Lepisosteus oculatus: one gene and its partners. The protein of the gene in region 1 purifies or fractionates together with the protein of each later gene. This does not show direct contact. Links are inferred from orthologs where the notes say so. Each region holds a gene or a part of one and is shown in the gene's direction. Other genes may lie near its edges.

The links.
Region 2: the proteins of rpl7l1 (region 1) and rexo4 purify together in Homo sapiens (affinity purification with mass spectrometry; 3 studies listed by BioGRID and IntAct, with this or other methods). This does not show direct contact. The link is inferred for Lepisosteus oculatus from reciprocal best matches to the Homo sapiens genes RPL7L1 and REXO4.
Region 3: the proteins of rpl7l1 (region 1) and pes purify together in Homo sapiens (affinity purification with mass spectrometry; 4 studies listed by BioGRID and IntAct, counting the BioPlex papers as one, with this or other methods). This does not show direct contact. The link is inferred for Lepisosteus oculatus from reciprocal best matches to the Homo sapiens genes RPL7L1 and PES1.

The regions. Positions count from the first base shown.
Region 1 is NC_090697.1:58,535,523-58,543,233, forward strand, and holds the start of rpl7l1 (60S ribosomal protein L7-like 1), read left to right. Parts: upstream 1-4,681; 5' UTR 4,682-4,739; coding exon 4,740-4,789; intron 4,790-5,519; coding exon 5,520-5,628; intron 5,629-6,177; coding exon 6,178-6,341; intron 6,342-6,736; coding exon 6,737-6,874; intron 6,875-7,711.
Region 2 is NC_090719.1:5,369,338-5,376,271, reverse strand, and holds the start of rexo4 (RNA exonuclease 4), read left to right. Parts: upstream 1-3,823; 5' UTR 3,824-4,101; intron 4,102-4,434; 5' UTR 4,435-4,558; coding exon 4,559-4,786; intron 4,787-5,189; coding exon 5,190-5,521; intron 5,522-6,438; coding exon 6,439-6,591; intron 6,592-6,904; coding exon 6,905-6,934.
Region 3 is NC_090717.1:5,546,889-5,554,506, reverse strand, and holds the start of pes (pescadillo), read left to right. Parts: upstream 1-4,512; 5' UTR 4,513-4,618; coding exon 4,619-4,642; intron 4,643-5,488; coding exon 5,489-5,568; intron 5,569-6,017; coding exon 6,018-6,171; intron 6,172-6,644; coding exon 6,645-6,754; intron 6,755-7,540; coding exon 7,541-7,618. Other genes in the region: p2rx2 (P2X purinoceptor 2), read right to left, coding at 131-202, 823-958, 3,150-3,289. UniProt on the Homo sapiens protein: Component of the PeBoW complex, which is required for maturation of 28S and 5.8S ribosomal RNAs and formation of the 60S ribosome.

The DNA.
Region 1 (7,711 bases):
TGCTCATATTAAATCAGGAATAGTATCTCTTTGACCCTTCTCCAATTACATCGCCACAATTTGAGTTTTCACTCCTTATCCATAGTCTTTGTCTTTTGATCCACACAGCAGTTCTTAATCTAAAAAATAAATAGTAAAAAAAATAAATAAAAGTATCACATCATCTTCATTGAATGTCTACAGCTGTGTAAAAAGCCTTCTGAAACTCTATAATCTATTTGTGTATCAATTATTGGTGTTGTGTCAACTCTTATAAATAAGTTAACCAAAACCTTACCTTTTCTCAATCCAAGCTGACTGTTCCCCGGAATACAATTAGTTATAATTAATTGCATGTAACAAAATGACAGATAACAGAATTATTGGTCTACAATTACTTTGTTCAACAACTTTCCTTTCAATGGGTATCACTCCTGTTTTGAGTGAACTGTTGGAAAGGTTCTGCTAATGACCTACAAATAATATCTCTTTGTACTGTTGCTTGAATCTCATCAGGAGATTTGTTTATTATTTGTGCTTCTAATGTTTCTTTATTAGCCCTACACAATTTCTTGCATTAGGAATGCGTCTTTTCGCATACCCCAGCTTTTCTCTATGGAGACACAGACACAGAGACAGGGAGAGAAGCTTGGGGTCAGAGCGCAGGGTCTGCCATTGTACGGCGCCCCTGGAGCAGTTAGGGTTAAGGGCCTTGCTCAGGGGCCCAACGGAGTAGGATTCCTCTGCCGGCCGCGGGATTTGAACCGGCAACCTTCCGGTCACAGGCGCAGATCCTTAACCATAATACCAGTGGCACACCGACTTCTTCTATGCAAATATTGTTTAATGTAGAACCTTGTCTTTCCTCAGTCTGAGGCATGTTGTTCTAGTGCTCTCTTGACATTTCTAATATCATTTTTACCTGTGCTTAAAGTTTACTAAATTCATTTTCTTTAACTAGATAGCTTTGAAAGTATTTCGTTTCTATATGTATTTTACATATCATTAATTGATATGTATCAGTTACATACATGTAATTATATCAATTTGGAGCCGTGGTAGCTCAGACGGCAAGGGCGTTTTGCTCCTGACTGGTCCTGGGTTCAATCCCAGGTAGGGGCAAGCGATGTAGCTTGCTCTAATTCCTTCCAGACAGCTCCCAGTTCCACTCCAAATGAGTACCAGGGGTTAATCCATCCGGGGGTAATAGGCCAGCCAGAGCGTGAAACTGACCACATCACCTCCACCTCCAGTGTCGGATGGTTGAGAAAAATGGTGGCCCTTGCCCCTCCTATTTCCCCATGGACCTTTATGGCCTGAAAAGGCGACCAACCCTACCTATCTAATTATATCAATTACAGTACATATATGCCTTCACAGTATTATTCACACGTACAGATAGCAGCATTATTATCACACAATGAAATCTTCATTTTTCTTGGCACAGGAGCAGATCTTGATTGTCCCTGGTTACTTGTTTTTATACTGTTTCCTGTATTTGGCAGTTATAAAACCACAGACTTTTTTATAAACAGCTGTTCATTTAGTTAACTCTCGATTAGTCAAAACGGGTACAATTTAGTGTGTGAACAAGTGCTAAAAGAAAGCAAAGGACAAAACTTGAGGGTGCTGTCATTTTAAAAAGGTGTCAGAAAATGTTGTGTTTAAACAATAGTGAATGTTCTTTGATGTTCTTTTATGCATGTTAAGGACTGGTCAAATGTAAAACCACTTAGTGTAGCTTTTCTGGTGTGTCAGAATTTATTTTAAAGTAAAGGGGCGGTGCGGTGGCTAAGGATCTGCGCCTGTGGCTGGAAGGCCACCGGTTTGAATCGCACGGCCAGCAGAGGACTCCTACTCCATTGGTCCCCTGAACAAGGCCCTTAACCACAACCGCTCCAGGGGTGCTGTATTAAATGGCTGACCCTGTGCTCAGACCCCCTGTCTGTGTCTCTCGTGGAGAGCAAGTTGGGGTATGTGAAAAGACAAATTCCTAATACAAGAAATTGTATATGGCCAATAAAAATGATCTTATCTTACCCTGATATTCACTCTCTTTGTCATTCACTCTGACCTGAAAACTGACAAGGCTGCCTGTTTGCCGATTACTCATTCAAACTGACACATTTGTCCATCTGCCTGTCTGGCACCATTCATGCATCACATTTCATTAAATAAACAAGCCATGTGGAACAGAAAGATATACAGTATAGTCCATATAGAGCTAACAAAAACAGCCTTCATCTGATAACACCTACACAGCATATACATTTCACCCATTGTACGTTATTCCTATTTGAGGATTATATGGTTAACATTGCACTCTTTTTTGGAAAACAAATCATTTAACCACAACATTCATCCTTTATCTTGTGTATTTACCATTACATCCTGTTGTTACAAAAAGTGGTTTTGTGGCAACAGCTTAAATACAAGTATTTTTTCAAAGTTAAATAATAACATACTCCCACTGGTCAGGGAATACTGACAAAGGTCATTTGACTTCTTTAATTTTTCATGAACAATCTAGTAGCAGAGAAATATGCAATAATTGCAAAGATGAGTGTTAATGACAGAACACAACACAAAAAAACTATATTTTGAACTGTAATGAGGTCTTAGAGCCCAACAAATTACATCCAACCTCTGTCATCAGATCCCTAACATTAACTACAACAATGCAGTCAGAAGTGTACCTAAATGTTTAAGAGAAAGTAGGTCTGGTTTCATAAAAGGACTAATCTTCCACAGGTTAGCCTGTCCTCTAAACTGATAATAAAATAGTGGAATTGTTTGGCCTCTAATAAGAATGCTTGCAATTAATCAACAGTAAGAATTTCATAAATTTTCATCAAGAAAAACAAAGTGCAGATTAATTAGTGCTTCTAAAAATAAATAAAAAAACTGTATCTTTCCTGAATATTTCCTTAAACTTTGACTTAGTGTCCCTTCAGTGCCCAGTGTAAGGCAGATGTTGGTTCCTTAAAGACAATGTAGTAGAACTGTGTTGTAAAGTTGTCACTGACTCTTTTCTGCTACAGTACATATCCTTCTTCTCTTTTTAAAAAAGTTATGTCATCTATTTAAGCATAGCACATTGTCACATAAGATGCTGGTCATCTTCTGGAAATTCCAGCCTCAGAAGTTGTGGTGCTGTTTGGTCTCCTCTCAGTCGTGGTCTGCTTAATTCATTAAAAATCACTGAGTTTCTGGACTGCTTATCCAGATGCTCAGATATGTTTTAACAGATACACTTTCTCTCAGCACCCACAGGGCTCTTGAATCATCCTGAGTTGTTGTGTGTTTACTTAGATAGGTACTTTATTGTCCACTACTGTGGAAATTTGCCTTTGGTTTCTCCCATAAATGTACAAAACGCACAATTAAAACATAAAAGTCACATAAAATAATATGAAGTACATTAAATCACAACAACACTATGTAATACATAAATGGATAAATGAATAGGTATTAGGGGGACTATATTTACGTACATGAGCAGTTTTATTACAGAGGGGACAAAAGACTTCTTACTGTATAGATGTTTTTATTTGAATTTGGTACCCTCTACAGTCTTCCTGATGGGAGCATTATGAATTGAGGGTGGAGAAGATGCATGGAATCTGTTTTGATGTTCCTCACCATTCTGAGACCTGTATTATTGTTAGGTGCACATTGTCTGTGTTCTCGTGTGTCCTGCAATGTGTCTTGAAGTGTGGCATTTGTTAAGAGAGCAGAGAATCCAATCTAAGCTGTAAATCCTCCTCTCATTAACAAGATGCTGTTCTCACTTGCTATTTAGGGAACTTTGATGAGTTCTCAGTCTAGGCTGTAACTGACTTCCCTAGAAATAATTCTTTAATGGCTTTACTCCAGCAAAATGGCTTTAATGAAGACTCCAGCTCTGTAAGTGAATTTACTCCTCCCTGGTTTCCAATCTTTAGTTTAAGAACCCCAGAGAGATAAAAAAAAAGTGGACAGCATAGCAACTAAGATTGTTGCTATTGGACATAATTAATTTCTTAAGACCTGGGACATTTTTACTGTGATCATCAAGTCAGGTGACCCAATCAATTAATTTACAGATTATTTGGTACAAAAACCTTTCGCCCTAAAGGACGAACCACCCATCCAGTTTTAATAACCACTTAATCCAATTTAGAATTGTAGTGAGCTAGATCCTAACCTGGCAGACAATCGCTGCAAGGCACAATATACTCTGGATGGGACACCACTCCATCATGGCACAGAATTTAAAGGTTCTGACAAACCTACAGTAGACATTTTATCCTGTAGCACAGAAGGGCAAGCAGCCTCCGCAAAGACAGCACCTCATGCCTGAACTAAGTTTAGGATCCAAGAGCTGTGAGTCAGAAAAACCTAACAGCCTCTGCTCTTCACTCTCAAGGACCAGAATTCTCACAAATGAGCACATTACCCGCTAAACTGATCAACAAAACTAAAAATATTCATAATCTTTTGAAAAACAGGTGAATTTGGGTTCTGGTTAGGACTTAACCATGAACGTTTCCAGGACTGGGGTTGAAGACTCTGGGTTTTCTGGAAGTTAAAAAGTTTTGTAGTTTTATGTAAAGTTGGAAGGGCAAAGACCACGTTTTGTACACGTGATTGATTAAATTGTGTCATTTGTTATGTTTTTGGGTATATTAGCTCACTCAAACCGGCAGTGGAGTACATCAGAATGCAGTACTGCTGGAGGTCAGAGGGTGGCGTAAACACGTGGAGAGCAAACTTAGTGGATGAGTGACATCATTTGTGTGCGACAGGTTGGAAAGATGGCAGATTCGGAGTAAGTGAAGTGTTTGCGTTATAAAATCTAAGTTAATCTTCATTAATAATGCATAGTTTCATCATTTCGTTCTGAAACATATGTTCACTGAAGTTAATCGATTATTTTAGTGTGTATATTTTTGCATTGCGACCTAAGCTTTTCTCGGTGAGGTTAAGACGGCTGTTCCCCCATACCTGATATCTAAATGTAGTTCTTTTTTTTTGTTCTCGAACATTTTTTAGAGATGTCGAATTTCCCTGAGACCAATTAATAGATATCATTAAGAGAGAAAATATCGTGCTTGTTTGTTTGAGAGACACTGCTTCTAAATTAAGTACTTCTACGTAAAAGATGGTGAAGGGTACCTGAACTCGTGCTTTATAAAGTTGAGGCGCAGTACTTTAACATTTGCAAACCTTTCTTGTTCCCCAATGTTTAATTGCAGACAGTGCTCTTTTTTAAATGAAACGTTCGGGACCGTTTGAAAAACAGACCCAAATCTTCAGGTTGTATGGACATATATAAATCCCGCTGCTTCTCTACTAATGTAGTTTGTGTGTACCTTGAGAAGGACAGCATGTTTATCAGATTGCTTTTACTCGGACCTTATCGATGTCGATGTGTTGAAATGTCCACAAGGCGGCTGAACTTTGATGCATAAATGTCAGAGAACAAGTGAAACGCATAGAGGACGATCTGGTTTTGTTTCAAACATTCTTCCTGACTTTGTCTGCAATTTGGTCCTTAGGGTGAAAAAGAAGATCAAATTTGTCCCCGAGAACCTCCTGAAGAAGAGGAAGACCTATCAGGCCATCAAAGCCAATGAGGCCAGACGTGCTCTTCTGGAGAAGAAAAAGGTAGGCTGGCATACAAATCTGTGAAAAACTGTCATGTTTACATTCATGGAAACAATAGAAATGAAAATCTTTTAACCTGCATGGGAGAAAGAGGAATATTCTGCCACAACAGAGAAGAGGAAATTCATTGCTGTTGGAAGGTTACAATACAATTCACTTCACGTCGTGGTAGGGTGACAATTTAAAACTTTAGGTGGAAACTTTCTTACCTCATTAGCCATAAGTAGTGGAAGAAAACCATGTCCTTAATAGATATTTTTAGAGAATTTTTTTTTTCAAAATGTTTTGGAATCTGTTTTTGTAATGTATTTAGGGACTAAAAAAGAGCTTCCTGTGTGTGGTCCTCTTGACAGTCATTTCTCTGCAGCGTTTAGTGCTGAATCCATGAAAAGTAATTTGTAAACTGAGAGCTTCACAGCCTTTTTCACTAAAGAAAGTGAATTTCTTAATTCAGTCCTCATCTTTTTTTAAGGAGCGGTTAGGCGAGAGTTAGTGCTGTACTTGTCTATTTTATCCCTGTTTTCTCAAAATCCTGTGTTACCCGGATAGCTACAGCGAGGCAAGACCCTGAAGTTCAAGCGTCTGGAAGAGTTCCTGTGGGACAGCCGACGGAAGCACCGTGATGAGACACGATTGAGAAGACAGGCCGCACGACCTGCTCCTGTTATCCTACCCAACCAGAAACGCCTTGCCTTCGTTGTCCGCATCAGACAGTACGTCTTGAAGGGCATCAGTGCCACGTTCTCTAACTCCATTTCTTTCCCTTCCCTTTTTGCCTTTGGTGCAAGAAATAGTGCTAACATTAAATCCTAAAGACGTCCATTTTTTAAGAGATGTCTAATGTATTAAGAAATAAAAAAAATCACTCACCTGCATCTTACCAAGTTCTATAACAGCAAATTTTCCAATTTCCTTTATTTTAGTTGTGAAGTAAAATTAAAATCAAAACAGCCTTGCTTGCCATACACTGATATCTAGTGAATGAATGGTCATTTTTTAAAACAGACCTTTGAAGCTAACCACAAATCTTCTTTATTAGTTCTATCTTCCTGTGATAAGTAATGTCTGGTCAGAAGAATTGCTTTAAGTTTATCTCATCTGTGTGCAGGATTAGGGGTGTCAGCCTTAAGGTCATGAAGGTAATCCAAATGTTGCGGCTCAGGAAGATCTTCAGCGGCTCTTTTGTTAAAATCAACAAGACCTCCCTAACTATGCTGAAGGCTGTGGAGCCGTACGTAGCCTGGGGGTGAGTGAGAATATCCGTGGACTGTTTACGTTTCACTATTAAGGTTTTGTTAAGTCCTCTGGAGTTTTTAATGCCGGGTGAAATAGCTCAATAAGGAAACTGCAACACTATTTTCATATCTTGGAATTAGAAAGAATCAGCATTGATGAGTGCATTTCAAATTGCGATAAAAGTAAAATGTACACCATAACATTTACATCACAAAATAAATGAAATTTCCAGGTATGCGCAGCACCATATTCTGCGATTCAGAATGAGGTAACAAAACCTCCTGGGGCGTCTTCCAGCCCTACTGCATTGTAAAGAAGCAGACTTGTGAATGCATCTCTTTTAATCCAATAGAAATATTGCTCTCAATTTCAACACGGTTTGTGCTGACAAATGCCGCTTGTTAACTCTGCATGCAGATCACGTTGGAACGTTCCTGCTGTGAAATGTCTGCTGTACAACCTGTGCTTATTCGCTCGTACATCACATTACATCATTACAGTGAATACTGAGCAGGAAGGGTTGCTTCACCTGGCAATCCGTGAGAACTGTCGCTCTTACCCTTAAACCAAGGGTTTGCGACAAGCATGGCAACTTTAAATACTCTCATGAACTTCATGATGTTGTGCTTGATTTTAAATTTGTTGAATTTTTCTATAATGTCAATGAATTTATCTTGTTACCGAGATTTAATAACTGGTCTGAGATGTTCGGAGTGCATTTCCTCTCATGTGCCTCTGGTTCTTCCCAGCAGGGGGCACCCTAACACTTTATTTGGTTAGATTTGCTACGATATGGACTGCTCAAGCAGGCAGTTCCCAGAGCATTTCCCAGTCTTGGAAAGCTCAT
Region 2 (6,934 bases), on another chromosome or scaffold:
AGAGAATGTAATTCGGTCAATTGGATGTCTTTGCTTTACATGTGCATGATGCTGACCTTAAACACTATAATTCTAATTCACCTCAAATGCTACTATTGCTTGATTTCTTTACTGGATTACAAAAACAGACAGGTCGTTAAGCGGAAATAAGACCGCACTTTAAACTTGATGCGAAGTCAAAGGTTCAAGGTTAGTATCAACCATTTTTAGAAAACAGCTTCCATGTCCCAAACCCGATTTATATCAGTTTAGCACTTTCGTTACTCCTCCTGCACAACCTCAGCTTCACCAGATCGGGCCTGACGACTCGTTTGCAAAAACTTGTGCTCTTCTCCCGCTCTTCCTGTTACCGATACCACGCTAGACATTGCAGCACAAACCGCAGGGCACAGCCTTACTAATGATATCCTTAGTCAGACTGCCCCTAATTCGCTTAATTGAAGGCTAAATAAAGCAATCACGTCAATCAAACCACCGCATATTCATCTGCAAAGCTTTATTTTGTGTTATAAAATGTCAGTTTGTGGATTACGTAATTGAGAAGCCTGCATTTATAATATGAAAAGAAAAACCCAAGAAAACAATGTCATTTTGTGGATTGATAATACAAATCAATGCTTCATAAATATGTAATGCAACGTAAAATATGGCATTGTATTTTCAAGCGAGCAAACAGATCAATTGGGTAAGGCAATTAACATCCAAAAGGAATTAGGTCCAAGTTAACCCAAACGACATTCATTTTTCTTATTTGACTGGTTTGGTCAATTCGTCAGATCACCTCATTGGTTGAAGATCTGATACTTTACCAACTGCTGAATACCAGCTCCAACTATTCATAGCAATTTTCCGTCCTTGCTTAAGGCATGGCGCTTGACGTTATGAAAATTTTCAGCGTTCCTTTCCAAGAAGGTCGATGTGTTTACTCTTTGATCCTACCTCTTGTAAATTCTTGCAAAGACAGAAGGGTGCAAAAATGTCCCATCTTTTGTAACCTGCGATTAAGTGTATAGTCTACCCTTCTACAAGGAATGCAATCAGGACAAAAGCACAAACTCGAAAAAAATAATTTAGCATAATTACCAAGGGATGCGTATTCATGTTAGTCTACGTGCTTTGTTTTCGTACGTACTGTAGTTATATGTAATCTATGTTGTGTAATCTATGTTTCAGCAACCACATTTTTAATAGAACAGAAGTTTGGATCTATTAATATAGCGGCAATAATTTAATGATAGCTACTGTCAAAAATAAGCTCTTATGCTTTAAACAATATAAATAATATTTTATAACTGTACTGTAATGATAATGCTAATTAACCGAGAACTCAAAGTACTGTACGTCTGACATCTAAGCTTGAACATAGTCAAATCAAACCTGCTGAGAAAGACATGGAGCTGTCACGCCCACTCCGTTATTTAAAAATATCAAACTGACTCAACAATCTTTATCGATTTTAAGAGCAGAAGAAAACCCGGGGATTTTGTAATTAAAACGCTTTAGCTATACTGTAGGTTAATGTGTATACAGTATTTTGACTTCAAATGCAGCAGAACGCACGACACACGACTGCAGTGTGTGATTACTAGTAACTACGCAATGTAGACAAATGCCGTGTATTTTTGTTAAACTACGCATAGATCAAATAAAAGATGTTCATTATATTCGAGCACATTCGATTTTTCTTCGTCTCGGTTATTTAATATGGTCAGACTAATCATACACTGTTATGCCTGTACCGTCGGGAAATCCAGATTGCTCTCTCGGTACCTGCAGATGACCATTTGTAAAGATCATTTGGTAAACTGGTGCAAATGAACTTATCCAACTCTGTGGGACAGTCTGCTCTGTCCTACCATGACTTCTTGCAAACACTGTTACTGCACAACATCTCGCAAAGGCGGCATGCTTTTCTTTATGTTTTTTTATCATTTCTAGTTGTATTACCATGGAGATACATTGTATACATTGGAGATTCTATTGTATAAAAAGCACTGTAATGCTTCTGAGAAGGCACAAATCTGCAGAAAAGATTCTCGTCTGTAACCACCGCATTAGCTAGCTAATGCTAATGTTAGCTTTACACATCCGCCACCTTTCAATAACAGCAAAAATAAAACGCGTGTCAGAAGTATAACATTAATGGTATCAGAAAGAGCAGTTAATTTGTCTTCAATTCAGTCTTTTTCCAGTTGTAGATTAAATTCATCCACAAATCATGTAGCCCCATTGCACAATACCGTGAAACCGTTATCTCCACAATACAGCTTAACTAAAATAATGACAAAAAATACCTACCCATAGCTCTGTCCCCCAGCTCATGGTTTCAAGACGATCGTCTCTTTATAATCCACGGTTTCCAAGGGCTTTTCAATAGTTGAGTCAACAGTGAGTTTGATAATGTTTGAGGTCTTTATTCCGCCTATTATATCTTCCTTAACTCACCTCCTCATTCTGTTTCTACAAAATGGCCAGGAACTGCTGCACAGACTAGAGCACCATGCGGGCTCCCGCGCCGTCCAATGACAGCTGCGCGGGGACGCGCACAGAGGGGAAAGTCAAAATAACGTTGAAGCGATGAGGTGTGCTGCAGAAATCGGGGGGTATTCTAATGCTAATCGAAAGCTGATGCTACCCTGTGAGTGTTTTTGCGCGGGCGAAGGACTCAGATGGTTTAAAAAAATATTATTCTAATCACTTTAGTGTTGGGTTCACGAATGCGGAGAAGCTTTTACAACGCAAGGTTTACTTCGGTTAAATGACCTTTTCCTGTTGTTGTATTCAAGCACGCCACTGTCTTGAGTACACATGTGGACGCGAGTGATGCTTGCACCACAGTCGAGAACGCGCGATTTGCCTGCGTCTCACACCTCTTATTTATCAGACAGCCGAAGAGAGCACGCCGCAGAATTAAGACCACCGACCATGGAGACCCGTTGTTCTTTATTTTTCTTCTTGAAACAAAAAAACGGTCATATTTGAAAGATAAATACTTAATGCATATTTATATACAGTACAGCCCTCATTTTCTCTAAAGGATCTACAACGTTTATGCACGTAGAGGCAGAGGAACATAAGAAGAGAAAATGCATTTCCCTTAAAAAAAACTGACAGCTGCAATTGTGTTTTCATTTTGAATAAGTATCAAGTCACAAGTCTTGTATTAAGGAAAAAGTAATAGATTTATTTCATGAGAAGAAAGAAAACACAACGTTTCGGCTGTGGAACCTTCTTCGGGTGACGCGAGTCTTGAATTGAGTCTTGTTTTTTATCAGCCTGTCTGATTCAATGGGCCGTGCAAAATAAATTTAAAATCACGCTTTTAAAATAATTCCAATGATATACCAACGACTGTTGTAACTATTTTCGCTATTCGCTGATCAAAAGCGTGCTAAATACAGTATACATTAAAAACTGAAGCGTACTGTAGTCTTAAGCAGTCTTTGCACGAGTGGAAGGGCGAACAGCGTCATCTATCGACTTGAAGTTACACAGTGAGAAAATCCGTTGACAGATTTGGTCAAACTATTTAGCTCATGCACAAATACGGTCATGCTACCGTTCTCTGTGTTGTTTCCATTTCTAAATACTTGTTGATGCAGTTGTTCGAGTCATGTGTGTTCTTTGGAACAAAACGAAATACAGCAAATTGTTAGGTGTCAAATTTAAAGGTCAGGTCTTCTAGAATGTAATATTAATGCAGATTTGAAAGATTTATTAAAAGCCTACAATCCTACAATTCCACTATCATACATGTACGTTTGTTATTTAAATATAACTATTTTAAGTAGTTATAAAAGTGAGAAATATTTTAGATTAGATGTTTTCCATATTAAGTACTAACATCAATCGTAATTATTCCCAGATCCATGTGTTAAATACAAACCACTGAATTTCTGTGCTCCATACATGCTAAAGAATCACGTTATTCAAATGAGGTTTCTATGAAATCGGAATTAGTTATATTTTTTGCACTTTCGTTTGACCGGACCCGTCATGGTGTGCACAAGGTTTTTGTTTCTAGGGAACACTAATTACCGCCGGACATAGCGGAAGTAGTACAAGCAGCATGGAATTCATATGGGGAGGAATGTTGTGTTGGTAAGTTCGTGTACTGTATATGCGGTAGTTTGAAGTAATCTGAACAGATCAGCTTTAAAATTAAACAAATTTCATCATACAGCAAAGGCGATAACTGTCATTTTAAGTTATAGTTGATTTCATTTCGAAAGTATTTGGCTTCGGTTACATGTGCTTACGCTGCAGTGTACAGACACTGGAACATTTGATATTGCTAATTGTATCTTTGCAAACATCAATAAATGTTTAAGGTAGTTTACTATGCAAAGGCAACGTGATTGTCTCTCAGTTAAATTGGCCATTTTAAAATACCACATGCATTACTAGTTACTTTTGTCTCTTGTATTTTTGAAGTGTAACAGAAGCAGTGGTAAATTAAATATTTGCGGCAAGCAAATCTGGACAGATAATACCTTAATAACCCTGTGTGAGAGACTTCGTTTTGACTTGGAGCTACCTGACAGCAGTCGCGGAAATCATGTCAGGAGTGAAGTTACAGGGTGTTGATAAGGCGGCTGTGACCAAGACCCGTGGACCTAAACCAGAGGAAAAGAAAAACAAACGTCGCCTCAAGGAAAAGAAGTCCAAAAGAAAGGTGGAAAATGGACACTTAAAGAAAAAAAAGAAGGGAGGAGCTAATGTGAATTTCATACTGCCTCCCAAGGATTCTCAGCAGTTTTCATCTAACTGGAAAGCGCTGCAAGAGGTAGGAGAAATATTTCAGGATACTAGTTACAGAAACGTATTTAGTAATCAACTTTGATATTTTTGCAGAGTAATTTGGTTAGTTACATTGTATTTTATGCCTGTATATCCCAGGGTGTTGTAAGTTAATTGCACCAAATGCAGTAATGAATATGAATGGACTTCAGTTGTTTGCCTGTTGTAACTACCTTCCAAGTGACTCTAGTACACAATCCAGAATGTGGCATTTGAAAATGTTTTCAGCTGAATCTAAGACACCTTTATACTGGTAATTAACACTTTCTTTTCGTAATTCCGGCATGTTGACTTGTACAAGCTGGAATTGTATGCAAGCCTGTTCATATTTTCACTTACAAAAGTACATGTGATATTCTGCCTTTTTTCATTTTTGTCCTATGAATTAGCTGCTTAATCAGAAGAAAGAGACAGAAAATCAAGAGGCTGAATCTACTAGAGCACAACAGATATCCAAGAAAGAGACAAAGAAGCCTAAGAAGCACCCTAAAGAGCTTGCAGTTAAAGATCAAGGTAGCGGGGAATCCCAGGATCACCGTGGGAAGCAAATTATAGACTGTCCCTTGCCTTCCACCTCCAAGCTAAATGGGGATGCTGTCCCAACACCCCAGGAGAAAAGGAACAAAGAAAAGAGGAAAAAGGAGCTTGTACCCAAAGAGACAAATGAAAAGGGATGTAAAAAAAGAAAAATTGAGATGTCCACTGAGATCAAACTGAGAGAGTAAGTCAGGGGCCTTAAATAAGAGTGCCTTGATCTTATGTCAAGCAGGTTCAGTTGGTTTAAAGTTTTGGAACATAAAGATGTTTTAGTGTCCACATGAAGTACAGCCAGACAGTCTTGTCATACCATGCCTTGGTTGGTTGGCAAGCTAATTATTACTAGCAAGTGCCTCCATTTTATAATAATAATAATAATAATTGCTTACACTTATATAGCGCTTTTCTGGACACTCCACTCAAAGCGCTTTACAGGTAATGGGGACTCCCCTCCACCACCACCAATGTGCAGCATCCACCTGGATGATGCAACAGCAGCCATAGTGCGCCAGAACGCTCACCACACATCAGCTATCAGTGGGGAGGAGAGCAGAGTTAATGTAGCCAATTCATAGAAGGGGATTATTAGGAGGCCATGATTGGTAAGGGCCAATTGGAAATTTGGCCAGGACACCGGGGTTACACCCCTACTCTTTTCGAGAAGCGCCCTGGGATTTTTAATGACCACAGAGAGTCAGGACCTCGGTTTTACGTCTCATCCGAAGGACGGCGCCTGTTTACAGTATAGTGTCCCCATCACTATACTGGGGCATTAGGACCCACATGGACCACAGGGTGAGCGCCCCCTGCTGGCCCCACTAACACCTCTTCCAGCAGCAACCTTAGTTTTTCCCAGGGAGGTCTCCCATCCCAGTACTGACCAGGCTCACACCTGCTTAGCTTCAGTGGGTTGCCAGTTGTGAGTTGCAGGGTGATATGGCTGCTGGCTTAATTTTGCTTTGCAGGAGATGCTAGCTGAAAGTTGTCTACTATCTGTGAGCAGCTCTTACGATAAAGAGTCAAAAATTCTCTGTTGATGTCAACGTTGTTTCTACATCATTGATTTTGGTGGCTTGAGAAATTTGCTATTTTGATTGGCAGGGAGGATATCTGGTTTGATGATGTTGACCCAGATGACATAGAGGCTGCCATAGGAGCAGATGCGGCGGAGATAGTGAGGAAGAAGCTGGGAATAAAAAAGTCTGAACCCCAGACAGTAGACAGTGTACTGGTGAAGGATTGTGCATTTGAAGGGTAAGTTGACTGAACTTTCTTGTTTTTCTTTTAGTCTTTCTTTGCTGCCTGTAATTATTTTTGGGTGTTTGCCTTTTATGAAATGTAAATTCTAAATCATATAATAAGATCGTGATGCGTAATCTTGAGGACTGAGATTAAGTTTGGTCCATCATCAGTTATACTGTATATATATATTTGTAATGCATGAGTAGTTCTGAAATCAAGAATGTATTGTAAATAGATCTAGTCTTTTGCAGAATATTTCTTTTTTTTTTGGTTACAATGAGAAAGTCTCTACTGAAAGTCAATGATCAACTGTTTGTTTTAATAGGTTAACTAAAACCGTAGCCATGGACTGTGA
Region 3 (7,618 bases), on another chromosome or scaffold:
CCACTGAATTTTGTCAATATTCTTGTCACATTGTGTGATTTAATCATTAAGGAGTTTGTTGCTGTCGTGCTTCTAGGTCTGGGATGACCCTCTTAACAGGAGAGCCTTGAAGGCTGCAGTCTGGCCTTACCTCTGCACACACACCCTGCCTCTGCTCAATCGTGATCTCTCTCCGTAGGATAGAGCTGATGACATCACCGCCCTGAGTAGGAAACAAGGAAAAGCGGTCCATTATTTCCCCTGGCCTGGGATTTCCCACTGGAGGATATGTCTGTGTGTCCCAAAGGAGACAGCTCAGGGCCAGCCTGCAGTGTAGGGTGGAGGAATTGGGAATTTCTCTCAGTAAACAGCCCCCCTGGATAGGAAAGAATCGTCTTTCAAGTTGTCTGGGTTGAGCCCAAAACATAATGAATCACCATAAAGCAGCCCAGTGGTAAGCATTTCATTGCACTTGTGGGTATGACAAATAAACTGAACTGAGTTATACGTACGGTACACTTGAAAAAGGGATCAGGTTAAACCCAAACTATCTAAAAAGAAAATTCTCTAGTAACAGGCTTGAAAGATAAGAAAAGATATCCATCTATATTTTTATATGTAATATAAATGAACTCATTAACTCTTCAGCTGCACATATGGATGGTGCAACTTAGGATATCACACGTTTATGTGGGTTTTTTTTCTTCTCTTGCTCTGTGATGCATCAGCAACTGAAAGACATAGAAGTCAGCGTCTCCGGGCGACAGTCTGAGGGATAAGCCGCAGTGCTCCTCGCCCTCATTCTGTCGGTGGCCGTGTAGGAGCGCTGGCGACAGGTCTTACCTCCGACGGCCTGACGTACTCCACCACATCCTGCACAGTGTCCCCCACCAGGGCGACCCCCTTCATCTTGGTGTAGATGGAGCTCTCTGGGCGCGTCTCACTCTCTTGGTAGGCCTTCTGACTGATGAACACATACCTGTCAGGGAAGCCAAAGAGGTGTTCTGGATGTGCCCCTTTGAGCAGTGTGCAGAATCCACAGCAGCACCCTTCATACTGTCGGTCTTGTGGGGCTCTTTGGATTGCATGATGTCAAGGAGGACAAAATAACACTGATACACAGAAATATACCACATTTGATCCAAAACTCTATTAAATTTCTCTGTGTTGAAAGCAAAAGATAGGAAACCTGTCCAGGGATAAATGCCAACAATACTAGAAGGTTCAGAATGTAATCATCAGTAAATAGATGCCTATTTACCATCACTATCAAGAATACTAACACCCATCCTTCCATTTTATAACCACCTCATCCGACTCTGGATCGCAGGAGAGCCAGAGCCTACTCTGGCAAGCAATGGGCACAAGGTGGGATACACCCCGGACAGGACGCAGTCCATCGCAGGACACACAGAAGACACAGACACGGACACACTCACAACAGGACCAGCTTTTCCCAGAGGCCACTTAACCTACCAGTATGTCTTTGAACTGCGGGAGGCAAGTGAAACACCTCCCTACAGACCTGGGGAGAGTATGCGAATTCCAGACAGACTGCACCCCTGGTCCAGAACCAATCCTAAGGCTCCAACACTGCAAGGCAGTAATGCTTACCACTGGACCGCTGTGCCACCAACATAACCCATACATCTGTGATGGTTAATGGTTAATATTTCTCCTCCACTAGGGATGCACAAAAACAGCAATAGCTTATTTAGGGTGAATGCTATATTAGTATCTTGATACTCTGGGCAACACTTCTAAAGAAATGAAGATGTTAAAAAGGAAAGATCAGCCACTGCTTATTGACACACATGTGTTAAAAGTTATCCGCACAAGATCGTTTTCTGATGACTTCCTTCTAATGTTCCCGGGATTTTGCAAAATGATTGTGTTCAAGAGCTTTTAGGTAATTTAGAACATGCTCTGGCAGCTTGCATATGCATCCCCTCCATGTCATTACCCTAATTAGGGCTACTATGAGAGAACATTAACAAATATGTTAATATCACTTCTAAATATGCAGAACAATGGGGATGATTACCAGATAGCTATACTTTTTAAATAATGTTGATAAAATGTTAATTAGTTGAAAATGCATTTCCTCTGAAATCCCAGAAAGTTACTATGATCTATGACATAGTTGGCAAACCATATATATTTATTTCATTTCATGCTGAGCTCTATATTGTAAGTATAAACAACAACAACAACAACAACAACAACAACAACAACAACAACAACAACAACAACAACAACAACAACAACAACAACAACAGCATTATTTTCAGACTATTTGTACCTCCTGATTTATGTTGAACGCTGTAGCATTTTATCCTGACCTACAGTTTACTGACCTGCTGGAAACCATTATAAAAACAAATGTGAAACGGGGACAGTAGTTTCATTTACAATGTATTGATCTGTAACAGTCACCAAGAGTTTGCAGTTATAAATCGATTAGTGGCTAGCAAAGTTTTTGTCAGCATCGGTATTAATTATAGATGAGGTTACATTCAGGCATCCTTTAAAATATCTTGTTTAATTATACAATTATACAGTAAGTGTTTTGAAACCCAAAAATACGTAAATATCTGATGTGTGTTATGGTTTTATAAAGCTTTCTTCTGAATCTTATTTTGGATGACTGCCAACCATTTCAAAGCTTATGGAAATTTACTGTATTTACTTTATTTATTTTACAGTTTTTCAATGCTTTTACTATACCATAAACATGCTTCCACATTGCTTTGGAATGGATTTCCATGATTTGTACAGTACCATAGTATGTGTGACAAAATTTAAGCCTTATGATGCTTTTGTCATGATTTCACTGAACCTTGATACACCTCTGCCTCTTTGCCTTTCTCTGCCTATAGCAAATTGCACTACAATAACATTTTAGAAGGAACCAACACACATTTTCATGCATTTTGTGGGAGTGCAAAAAGGAAAAAGTGTCCATTAGAGTTCATTAGAAGTCCAAGTTATTTAGAAACCACATTAAGGATATGAACATCTGCTTTATTTTGAGTCTTTATACCAGGCTGCAATGCTCTATACTATTGTATTACTGTGTCAGTCATAAAACAACTTCAGTATCACCCAATTGCCAAAGCACTTATTATTCTTTTTATGGATGTCAGGCTTTAGAACCAAATTAAACTTACCATATGAAGTAGGTGATTACCAGGAACTGCACAATTCTGTAAATGATTCCGAGAGTTTGGTTTTTCACCACCATTATCTTCGGAGTCTCATAATCCCAGAATCCAACATAAAAGTCCTTAATGAGCTCCTTTAATCCCATTGTATACAGATTTCCTCTCTGGGATCTGGTTCTGGAAGCAGAGGTGTAGTGTGGCGCACTGATGCTCTAAATCTGTCTTACTCCTCCTTTGGGCTTTGCAAATTTTACTCTCTGTCTCCACCTCTGGATCTCCTCTTCTTCTTTATCTCTTTGCCTGTCTTGTCCTAGTGCCCAGTCTAAATTTGCATGTTGGCCATCCTCCCCCTTTTGTGTTTCATACTCTGATGACATCACGTTAGCTGTTTTCTAATCCATTGGGATTCCTTGTTCCAGTCCTGGTCTAGATGATTCCTTGATGAATACTCTCAGGCCACCACCACCCATTCCTTACTCCTACTAGCTATTTATAATGCACAGATGGATCAAAATGTTGAGATTTCTATGTGATGTGATCTCCTTTTGTGGAGTGGAAAAATCGCCCATTTTTGCTTGAGTTGTGTCTTTTTTCTAAAGAGAAATCGTAGCACAAAAGAAATATGCTTGTGTTCAAGCAAACATCTGATAACCCGTTTTTCGACGAAGGGCTTTTAAAAACCACTACATTAAGGGTTGATACTCAAAAGCTCTTCCACCCTGTAGCAGCTGCTTGTAACCACTTCCTAATGCATGGTCATGGTATCAAGTGGGAAATTGACTCCGTCGCTATCATTAATGTGGATCACAATGTTTAACTAAGCCCAGAGAGAGAGAGAGCTTACAATTTATGAAATAGGGATATAAAAACATTACACATTTAGTAAAACAGTACCAGTCTCACAAGACAAGTACCCAACATAATCGGGAATTCTGAGGTGAATACAACTAGACACAGCACAAAGTGGACGTCAGAAACAGAAATGGCCTGTCTACTTGCTTACTTTCAACCTTTGTACGTAAATCTCGATGGTATATAATAAGACATTAATTTTAATGAGCTAGGAATATTTTCATAAGCATTCACATGCCTGTGTGCCTCTATGACAGACAACCTGACGTACAAAATCTAGTTTCAAGCATCCAACCAGAAAACATACACGCGTAGGTCGCCCGATTCGTATCCTTTTTTAATGTTATTTTTAGATAGTGAAGATAGGAAATACTGACATTTTAGACACTAATTTTTATTAAATAAATATATTATATACGTTTCAAAGAGTTATATTAAACCATAAAACTGCGAGATATACCATCGATGTGTGAATTGTGAACAGGCAACACACAGGACAGTTCCTTACGATACGGGTCCTTACAGTGCAGCACATCCGACACGTGTCTGAGTGTATGTAGGGTTGTTGTCGGTGGTGAAAGTTATTCGTTCAATTAAGTTTGTTTTCCTGATAAATCGTAGAAATGGGAGGTCTTCAAAAGAAGAAGGTATGTTTCTGTGTTTTATTATCTGAAGGCACTTTTGGACTCCGTTATTAAACATGTGCATAATACGGTTTTACCATCATATCAGACAGCATGAACTGATTTCTGAATTGTCGCTGTGGAGAACGTATAAGGACGTTTGTAATGTCTCGATGTTATATTTTGCGGTATTTTACTGTGATATAAAGTCGCTAAATGAAAGCTAGTGTCACTGGTGATGCAGTTCGGATGTATTAATGGTCTGGATAAGATCTCTTAAAGGGTCTTCATTGAGATTCGTATGCTCAGATACATAAGGCTCCTTTGCTGGTACATCTTATGATGTTACAGTACGTGAAGTTCCATGACATGTCGAATACAACATTAATTAGATTTGCATCAATTTAAGTTTAATACAGTGGATACTTTATGGAGTAAATAAAACACAATGACCGTCTCAATAATTAAAGAGAAGTGGAGATGAAAACGTTTTTTCTGGTTACTTGAAAACATATCCAAGTTTCTGGTGATATTGCATACTGACTTTGTTCGAAATGTAAAACCCCTGGAGAGTTCTTGTCCATTTAACATGACTATATAGTTCATAGTGGAAATAAAATCCTTAACTTCAGTGACAGACATTTAGATCCTTTAAAACCCCCGATGTTACTATTACTAATTATTCGGTTGTTTAAAGTTATTTTTATACTACTTGAAATGCACATTTCTATCAGTAAATGTTTATTAAACTTAAACATCAACCTTGTCTCGAGTCGCACGAGTTTTAGCTTGCGTGTAAAATAAACGCTTTCCCTGACTTTGATCATTTTTGTTTTTATTAAGTTCATGATCTTTTTTCTTTCATTGCAGTATGAGAGGGGATCCGCCAGTAATTATATCACCAGGAACAAAGCACGGAAGAAACTGCAGCTGAGCCTGGCTGACTTCAGGTAGGAATGTTGTATTTACTTTGCCTGAATTTCATTTTGATTGCTTCTTAATGTTAATTGACTAGTTTTTAACGACAAAAGAGCAAGCATGAAAGACCGTTTTTAAAAGGGTCAGATTGTGTTTAAGTTAGTGAGTGAACACTGGCTCAACAAAGTATGCAGCTTCTTCACTCTTCAGGCTTTGACTAAGTTGTCGTACTTGGTTGTATTGATGATATCAACAGATATGAGTTAGTTATGATAAAAGTCAGCAGTGGAGTCTTGTCCCGTAGGCCCATTTAGTTGAATAAAGCAAAAACAGAGTGGAAGGGAGTAGTTGACGAAGCAGGGATTTGTCAGGCTCTGATGTGGGTTGCTGTTCATGTCCGACTGCTCTTCAATAGAGGTTAAGGTGCTGATGTCCCCACAGACCCCTGTTCCCTGAATAACCCCCTGCTCCCTCTCTCCAGGCGCCTCTGCATTCTCAAGGGAATATACCCCCATGAGCCCAAACACAAGAAGAAGGTCAACAAGGGCTCTACAGCTCCACGCACCTTCTACCTGCTCAAAGACATCCGCTTCCTTCTGCACGAGCCCATCGTCAGAAAGTTCAGGGAGTACAAGGTACCTCCAACCCCACTAATCTTTCCATTTCCGTCATCTTACCTAGGAATCTGTGGGGTGTGCTGTATGTGCTCTGGAAGTCTCCTGTGGTTTTGCACCAGGCTCATGTCTTCAAAAAGAAAAGCAAAATGGACTATGAACAGATTCCCTAGGAATAGCAACAACCAAGAATTCAGTGTATTTGAGGATTATGATGTGTTTTAGTCAAAGTTTGACTTAACCCATGTGGCTGAGGACCAACCTCCTAGTCACAAGATGAGCTGGCTGGGACCCCCATGCAGAGTGAGGATTGACTAAGGAGTAGCTGCACAGGTGGAGGTGTGATGCAAAAAGATGTATATGAGGGAGAGAAAGGGATAATGTCCAGTTGAACTTGGTTGTTGTCACCCTCCCAAATTTTCCTTCTGAATTCCATTAAGTCTCAATTAAAATGTTGTCGGTGACGTCGCTGTGCTCTCTCTGTGTTCGCTCAGGTTTTTGTGAGAAAGTTGCGCAAGGCATACGCTAAAGCAGAATGGACTGGAGTCCAAAGACTGAAGGAGAACAAGCCCAGCTACAAACTGGATCACATCGTCAAGGAGAGGTGAGCTGTGAGATCAGCATGAAACACCAGAGGGAGATCATCTGCTATACCAGCTTGATATCGGGACAACAGTAACAATAAAAAAACCTTTGACCTGCAAATCCTGTGTTTTGTACATCAACATATATATTTGAAAATGTACACGTGACTACTTAGGGCCAGGATGCTTAAAAGATGGCCATACCACTGCTATGTTGTATGTTATATTAATAATTGCTTACATTTATATAGAACTTTTCATTTGCTGTTTTATTTATATGGTCTAAACCGATATGTGTGCGGTTTTGACAAAATATTGTAATCAAGTACTGGCCTTCCATTCTCGAGAGGTTGTTTGTTTAATTTAACCTGCTTGATCACGCCAAAGACATCAGTGCTTAGCAATTGAAAAATGCTTTTAAAACAAATATTACAGCCTGTGCTGCATTAAGACTTGCAAGTTAATCATTTTCCAGAGAATATGAGTCCCTCCCTTTTTTATTTCAAAGAGCTATATCTCTCCCACTGGCTAAATTAAGAGGTTTGAGACAGTTTTTAATATGTCATTAGTAGACCCACTGAATAAACAGGCAATGAATTGACTTCTAGGATGGTGTTCTCTATCTTCTGATCTGACTGAAAAAGCCATTTTTAGCATGAGCTTAAGCCACTGCATGGTGGAAGTTTTGAAGCATAGGCAGGTTAGTGAACCTACACCTGATTTCAGTGTTTGGTAGTGAGTTTTAGACAAAAGCTGAGCTAATCCCACTCACGTCCAGTGCTGACTGCCTGTACACCGCTCTCCAGGTACCCCACTTTCATAGACGCCATCCGGGACGTCGACGACACCCTCTCGATGTGCTTCCTGTTCTCCACCTTTCCTCG